Linked DNA regions of Cricetulus griseus. Each later gene encodes a partner of the first gene's protein in a complex. Links are inferred from orthologs where the notes say so. Each region holds a gene or a part of one and is shown on either strand. Other genes may lie near its edges.

What was found.
Region 2: Osgep (region 1) and EKC/KEOPS complex subunit GON7-like share a complex: the UniProt entries of both Homo sapiens proteins name them as parts of the EKC/KEOPS complex. The link is inferred for Cricetulus griseus from reciprocal best matches to the Homo sapiens genes OSGEP and GON7.

Annotation. Positions count from the first base shown.
Region 1 is NW_023276807.1:206,592,116-206,595,330, reverse strand, and holds the end of Osgep (probable tRNA N6-adenosine threonylcarbamoyltransferase), read left to right. Parts: intron 1-332; coding exon 333-398; intron 399-498; coding exon 499-589; intron 590-803; coding exon 804-879; intron 880-973; coding exon 974-1,072; intron 1,073-1,329; coding exon of another isoform or gene 1,330-1,369; exon of another isoform or gene 1,370-1,547; intron 1,548-2,175; coding exon 2,176-2,329; 3' UTR 2,330-2,622; downstream 2,623-3,215. UniProt on the Homo sapiens protein: Component of the EKC/KEOPS complex that is required for the formation of a threonylcarbamoyl group on adenosine at position 37 (t(6)A37) in tRNAs that read codons beginning with adenine.
Region 2 is NC_048598.1:103,312,552-103,316,876, reverse strand, and holds the start of EKC/KEOPS complex subunit GON7-like, read right to left. Parts: upstream 2,931-4,325; 5' UTR 2,869-2,930; coding exon 2,661-2,868; intron 1-2,660. Other genes in the region: putative E3 ubiquitin-protein ligase UBR7, read left to right, coding at 3,134-3,283. UniProt on the Homo sapiens protein: Component of the EKC/KEOPS complex that is required for the formation of a threonylcarbamoyl group on adenosine at position 37 (t(6)A37) in tRNAs that read codons beginning with adenine.

The DNA.
Region 1 (3,215 bases):
CCCCTGCTTTTAAAAGTGATGTGTCCACTTTGCTCACTGTTTATTTCTTACCTAAGCATTCACTCATAATAGGTGCTAGATAGATTATGTAGCAGGTACTGTATACCTTCTGTGTACCGGGCACTACATATTATAGGGAAAACAGTTCCTCCCTACATGGGAAAAAGGCTTGAAAATAAAAATTAACAAAAGAAGATGATGTGGGGTGCAGCACTCCTATAATGTCAGTTGTAATGAAGTCAGCTATCCTTTCAAGTGCAGGAATTTTTGTTTTCATGAAAGCCTCATGTCGGTATTCATCCTTTGGGTTGTCTCCCCCCCTTTAATTGCAGGATGTAGCGCAGAAAATGCTGGCCACAGGGGAATGTACTCCTGAAGACCTGTGTTTCTCCTTACAGGTAAAAGAGTGAAAAGCTGGGATGCAAAACTTAGTCTAGAGTAGAGCTGAACTAAGGTGGGATGCTGCTCTGATGTCTCCCCCTTGTCTGTCTTCCACAGGAAACTGTGTTTGCAATGCTAGTGGAGATCACAGAGCGAGCCATGGCACACTGTGGCTCCAAGGAAGCCCTCATCGTAGGAGGAGTTGGATGTATGTGTCACTGGGCAGTGTGCCTTCCTCCTAGTCCTGAGAGTCATTTTCCTGAAACGCTACATTACCAGAGTTTGGAGGGTTACCTGTTTCATCTCTTTAACTGTTTCACAACCCTCTTCCCTAGTCTTCTGGTAAACTGTCCTGGGAGCACAACTGGTTTGATAGCAAAATGGCCAAATCTAAGTTATCTGTGGTTCCTGTGTCTTCATAGGTAACGTGAGACTGCAGGAGATGATGGCAGCAATGTGCCAGGAGCGGGGAGCCCAGCTCTTTGCCACAGATGAGAGGTGAAGTCCTTCTCTTTGTCTTGAGTTCTTCTGTTCCCATCATTACGGTTTTTCTATGTTTAGGCCACAAGTCTTGTTACTGCTTCTTCCCCAGATTCTGCATTGACAATGGAGCCATGATAGCCCAAGCAGGTTGGGAGATGTTTCAAGCTGGACATAGGACCCCTCTCAGAGAGTCTGGAATTACACAGAGGTGAGTGACATCCTCCTTTGAGAAAGTAGATAGTAGGTACAGGAGACAGGTAGAAATTAACAGGTAGAAAAGTCAAAGAACAGATAAAGCTGTAGGTGATGGGTTTGGTGGCATGTACCTGTAATCCCAATATGTGGGGGCCAGGGCAGGAGGATTTTTATTTTGAGATAAGCCTGGGCTACAGATGCTGTCTCAAAAACAAAACAACAAAAAATGGCGCAAACAGGTAGTCACAGGGTTTTTCCTGCTTTCCACAGGTACAGGACAGATGAAGTAGAAGTGACGTGGAGGGACTAACAACACTAACAGGACCAGAATAGCTTGCCAAGTGGAGTGCTGATGTGGGAGTGAATCTTGGTGATACTATGGACTCTTCTCCTCTCTGGCTAGTGTATGGACCCCACACAAGGCTTAGGGTTCCTGTGGAACCCCAAGATGACTCTGAAATAAAGAGATTGTTTTTGTACGTTGACAACTGGATTGTGTTTTTTAGGACCAATAACAGAGTGAGTGCTGGGTAAATTCTTACTGGTGAGGTCAGTGGACAAGCTGGTGAGGGTCAGAGTAGCACTTGGTTGATGGTGCAGATAGTTTTGACGATTGCCACTTGGAGAAAGTCGTGGGTGCTGTCCTTCTATCCCTTTAACAATAGTCTCCTAACTAATAGTGTTTTAGTGTCATGTCCTGTGCCGAGGCCTCTACACTTAACAAACTGTGTTCACATTCATTGAAGGGGTATTCAGGATATCCCTTAAAAAGACCTGGAAATAGATCCAATTCATAACTTTACTAAAACTCCTGTCCTTCCTAAACTTCATTTAATGTACTCCTTCAAACACTTCACTGGCCAGTATCTGGGAGGCACCCGAGATGTACAACACCTCAGCACCAATACAAGCATCAGAACTGTAGATATCATGCCATATATAGTGCCACAAGAGGTCCTGAACTACCAAGCTCCTCTTTAGCCTCTGGCAGCCAGGTGCTTTGCCATCTTTTTTTTTTTTTTTTTTTTTTTGTCCCACTTCCAAACTCCTGAAACTTATCAGCCATTTGTAAAATCCATATATCCTCACCCTCTTTTTCAAATGTTGTCTTCACAGCGTTGCGCTGAGACCTAGTTTTTCGGAAAGACTGCTTCTCTTAACGCCTGGTGGTGAGTCTTTCACATCCATGTACCGCTGGGCATGGAGGTGGTGCAGCATCTCTTCTTTCTTTCCCTCCTCTGTCTCTTTGAGACAGGGCCTCTCTATGTAGCCCTGCCTGGTTTGGAGTTTGATGTGTAGACTAGACTGGCCCCAATCTCACGGAGATCCACCTGCCCCTGCCTTCTGAGTGCTGGGAGAAAGGTGTGCACCGCCACGCCCCACCTCTTGCAACGCACTGTTCCATAACTCAGTCTCATCCCGTTCTTCTGCCACAATCTGGCTCTTCAGGTTATTATGTGGAATCCATCCCTTTTCCAGGACCTGAAACCCTTTGATCTTACTTCCTTTCTACATTGTTTGCTATCCTCAGTTAAATTCCAATAATAAACACCTTGCTGCAGATGCTTTGTCTGCCTTTGCCATTTTTATTTTAAAAACAAAACAAACAAACAACAACAACAAAAAAAAAAAAACAGGATCTCATCAAGCTCAGGCTGGCCTTGAACAAACTAGCATAGGATGACCTCATCTATGTCTGCCTCCCAAGCGTTGGGTTACAGGTGTACCTTACCACACCCAATTTATACAGTATTAGGGACTGAACCTCTGGATGGAGCTGCATCCCTAGCCGCCATTCTACTTCTACACACATCACCTGCTTTATACCTACGTCTGTGCAGCCAAAAGTGCAAGTGAGAGAGCCGTGCTGGCTGCTGCAGCCCCCTGATAACAATGCAACTGAAGGCAGTCAGTCCTTCCTGCATCTCCCTCATTATCTTCTTAACCCTCCCACTCGCTGTCCTTGATAACTTCCGGATCTCCTGATCCTCAGATCCCCAACATATCTCTCCCTGTACACGTCACCTTTGTCTCTTAGTTGCCTCTCAACTATTTTTTATATATTGTATATATTTCAACATTTTGAACTATTTTGCTAAGTTAAGTTACGCTATTGCTGTCAAGAGACAGTACACTGTGACCAAAAGAAAGCATTT
Region 2 (4,325 bases), on another chromosome or scaffold:
GTAGCATGGATCCACACTTCACTCCTCTGTGTGTATATGTGATGTGTATGCACAAACCATAGCACACACAGAGGTCACAAACTCATTGTAGGTCTTTACCTTCCACTTTAAGAAAGCATCTCAGCTGGGTGGTGGCGGTGCACACCTGCAGTCCCAGTACTTGGGAGGCAGAGACAGCTGGCTCTCTGATTCAAGGCCAGCCTGGTCTACAGAGTGAGTTCTAGGACAGCCAATGCTACTCAGGGAAACCCTGTCTTGATCCCCCCTAAAAAACAAACAAACAAACAAAAAAAGGGGGGGGGTAATGTATCTTTGCATACACTATGCTTCCTGGCTCTATTCCCTAACTCACTGCAGGGAGCAGGGAGCAGGGAGCACTAGGATTATGGGCACATGGCAGTACATGGGTTCTTGAAGCCAAACTCACAATCCCATGCTTGTGCAGCTCTACCCACTGAGCAATCTCCCCAGCCAAATACTTTATTCTACACAATGAATACTATTCAACAATTAAAAGAATGCTCATGTTTTACTCTGGTGATGGGCAGTTGTATTATTTTGATTTCACAGCTATTAATGAACAGTGCTACTACAATTATTGAGTTTTGGTATAAACATATTTCCAATTAACTTTGGAGAACTAGTGGTGTAACTGGGGTACTATAGTTTTTGCCTGCTTGCCCTTACTCTGACTAGCAAGTTCATCTATCTATTCCTGAGACACCTCTTTGCTGGTGTTATAACCTACTTTGCTGGGACTCCAGCACCAGATTAGGAATGCTGAGGCATCCAGTCTCAGAGACTGAACAATTACTGGATCCTTGGTGTTTCTGTAAGGAGAAAGCCACTGTTGGACTATTCAGACCACAGGCTGTAAGGGCACTCTAACAAAGATATTCTATCAATAGGTTTTGCTTCTTTAGAGAACCCTGACCAATGCACCTAGCTAATACTTTATTATTATTATTTTAAATTATTATTATTAAATAATAATATTATTATTATTTCAAGACAGGATTTCTCTATGTAACCCTAGCTGTCCTAGAACTCGTTCAGTAGAGCAGGCTAGCCTTTAACTCACAGCCTGCCTCTGCCTCCCGAATGCTGGGATTAAAGGTGTGCACCACAACCATCCCCAGATTTTACTTACTGTTCTTCTTAATGACAGTCAATAACCCTATTATAAAGAACAGTACAGTTTAATCTCCTCTGTAGAAGAACTGACTCCTTAGCTCAGAGTAATGAAATCTCTTTTGTGTTCAAGATTAAAAATAAAATTTAACAAAGGTCAGGTTTGGTGGTGCATGTCTTTAATTCCAGCACTGATGAGGCAGAGGCAGGCAGATCTCTGCGAATTCAAAGTCAACCTGGTCTAATCCAAGGCCAACCAGTGGTACCCTGTGACACTGTCTACAATTTTTTTTTTTCTTCTATTAACAGAGTTGGGGCTGGAGAGATCAGTGGTTAAGACCACTGCCTGCAGGGGTTCTGATGCCCTCTTCTGGCCTCGGAGCACACTGCATAGAGCAGTGGTGCACAGACACAAGTAAGCGGCAGGCAAAACATCCACCTTGTTAAAAAAAAAACCAAAACCCAAAAAACTAACAGTTTATTTCTACAACAGTAGAGGGGGTGAATGATAGTAGGGGCTAGAGGAAGGGAATGGCTGTGGTGAAACTTTCTTTTGACCATGACATGGCTCGGACACAGGGGCAACAACTGTGGTTACCTGAACGAGACGGCAACCTCAACAGGGGCTCATTGGGTCCCATCCCGCCCGGAGGAGTTTTTGACAGTTAATGGGTGCTGGGGGAGGAGCTGACGTTTTCTTCTGTGGTGTAGTCACCGCTGAGTTGCCCTTGCTCCAGTAAATAACCATCCACCCCTTCTCATACAAAGAACCTTAAACTCAGTGAGAGACAACAAAAAGGAAGGCAGAAAAGAAAGCGGCGTGTGTGTGTGTGTGTGTGTGTGTGTGTGTGTGTGTGTGTGTGTGTATGTGTGAGTGTGTGTGTGTGTGTGTGTGTGTGTGTCATCGGGAATGGTTCAAGCAGGGGACGAAAGAGAAGGAGAAAATGACCACAGCGCATTACATGCACGCATGAGACTATCGGTGACTTTAAAACACACACCCACACCCACACAGCAAAACCGAAACCCCCTTATACTTTCAAAAACAGACTCGAGAAAGGACCCTCTGAGGGTTAAGACTCCCCACGACACAGTCGGTCTCGACCTTCCGAAGCTGTGCCCGCTGTGCCAAACAGGTTTCTAATTTCACACCTGGGGAAGACTCCCCCCCACTGGCGCCACGGGCCGCCCCTTAGGTCTTCCTTCCAGCTAGCAGCGACTGCAGACCCCCAGCCCAGCCCACCCCCCACGCCCCCAGGCTCCACTCTGCGGGTCTCAGTCCTCCGCGCCCCGCAAGACGGGAGGCGTCGGGCTGACCCGGCTCCCTGTCCAGCCCCCAGGCAAACGCTCGCCACGCTCTTCTGGCTGAGGTGAAGGAAGAGTCGTGGAAAACGCGGGGCAGAGAGGGCCAACCGTTTTCAGATGCGAGCCTTCCTGCTCGCCCGCGCCGGCCGGCCGGCCAGACTCGCTGTGCCAAGGCTGCCAGCCCTTCCCTCACACAGCCGGAGACCCCGGCGCCCCGCGCTCACCCTCCTCGGCGTCCTCCGGATCTGCCGTCACGCCCTGCGCGTCCCGCTGCTCCACGAGGGGCCCGAAGAACTCGGCTACCAGCTCCCTCATCCGGGCCACACCCGCCGACAGGCTCTGGAGAGGGTCCGCGTCGCCCGACGCCTCACAGGACACTTGCAGCCGCCGGGGCTCGCCGTCACACCCGACGTACTCGCCCGTCAGCTCCATGGCGACCCCTTCGCTTCAACGGCGCGCCACAGAGAACCGCCACCCGGAAGCGGAAGCCACCCCGCGGGCCGGCGCGGGCGGGAGAGACGGGTAAAAGGCATGACTTCCGACTCCCGGCACCCGCCCCGCCCATTTTCTTCCATCTCCACCTTTACCATTGGCTGCCTGACGATCAGGCCCCGCCTCCTCGCGACGCCCCCCCCGCAGGCGGTCCCTTTTCCCGCCTCCGCCTGGGCCGCGCCGCGGAGCGCTGTGACAGTTGAGGATGGCCGGAGCGGAGAGCCCCGCCGGCTGCCCGGCGGAGCTGGAGCCCGTGGTGTCGCTGGTGGACGTGCTTGAGGAGGACGAGGAGCTGGAGAACGAGGCGTGCGCCGTCCTGGGCGCCAGCGACTCGGAGAAGTGCTCCTACTCGCAGGTGCGCGCGGCCCGCTGCACCCGCCGTTCTGCTGCTTCCCGCCCGCGGCGGCGGCGGCGGCGGCGGCGGCCGCCCCGGCTCCAGGGCTGCCCTTCACCCCGGGCTTCCACAGCCCCGGCCGGCCCTGCGGCCCTTTGATCCTCAGCTTGTCGCCAGCAGGGCTCTCCCTCCGCCCTGCCCGAGGCTCTCTGCAGGCTCCGGTCCCCGAGCAGCAGCAGCAGCAGCAGCAGGAGCAGCTCTGCCCTCCTCGTTGTCGCCTCTTGGTGGCCTGCTTTCCACGAGCTCGTCCTCGTGACTTCTCAAACCACCCCGATATTCTTCGCCCCACTCCTTCCACTCTTAAAGAAGCTTAATTGGGCACCAGGTGGGGGGGGGAGGGTGAGCAGAGCTAAAGGGAAGTGGGCTGGATTTGAAAAATGTGCCCGTGCAGTCTAGTTTAACTGCTAGCTGGTTTCTTTCTTTCTTTTTTCCTTCCCGGTAAAGTTCCGAGTGTATGTGTTGTGTGACAGACACCCCTTCTCCCTCCGGAGTAGATCGGAACCAAAACATCATGTGACCCTGGAAAGCCGAGAGAGGAGGAAAGGATCTGCTTGGCGCCTGTGCGACCTTGTAAACAAGAGTTGTTTGAGGGCCGGTGATGTAGGGTTTAGTGACGCATCCCGTACATCTAAGTACAAAAGTGGAGAAGGGTGGGTAGGAAGGCACCAACAGGATGAGAATTGGTGGAAGGAAGCAAGCTAGCTATGCCCGTGGGTGGAGTGGAAGACTGGGGAAGGAGGGAAAGAACTTGGAGTTACTGTGTGGTGTGGACTAAAGTCATAATGCTATTTGTCTTCGTTAACCAACTTGGGTTTGCACTGCAAAATTGTTGGGTTGTGGAATTAAATCTTGTATCCCAGAAATAGTCGCAGATGGTCACTGGCATTTAAATCAAAGGATCACCACTAAGACACACCCCACTTCCTTGGAAGGAGGAAAGAAAGGCTCCAAGCCTCTGTGTGAGCTGTTTCTTAACACCATTATCTTTATAAAATGTATTAAC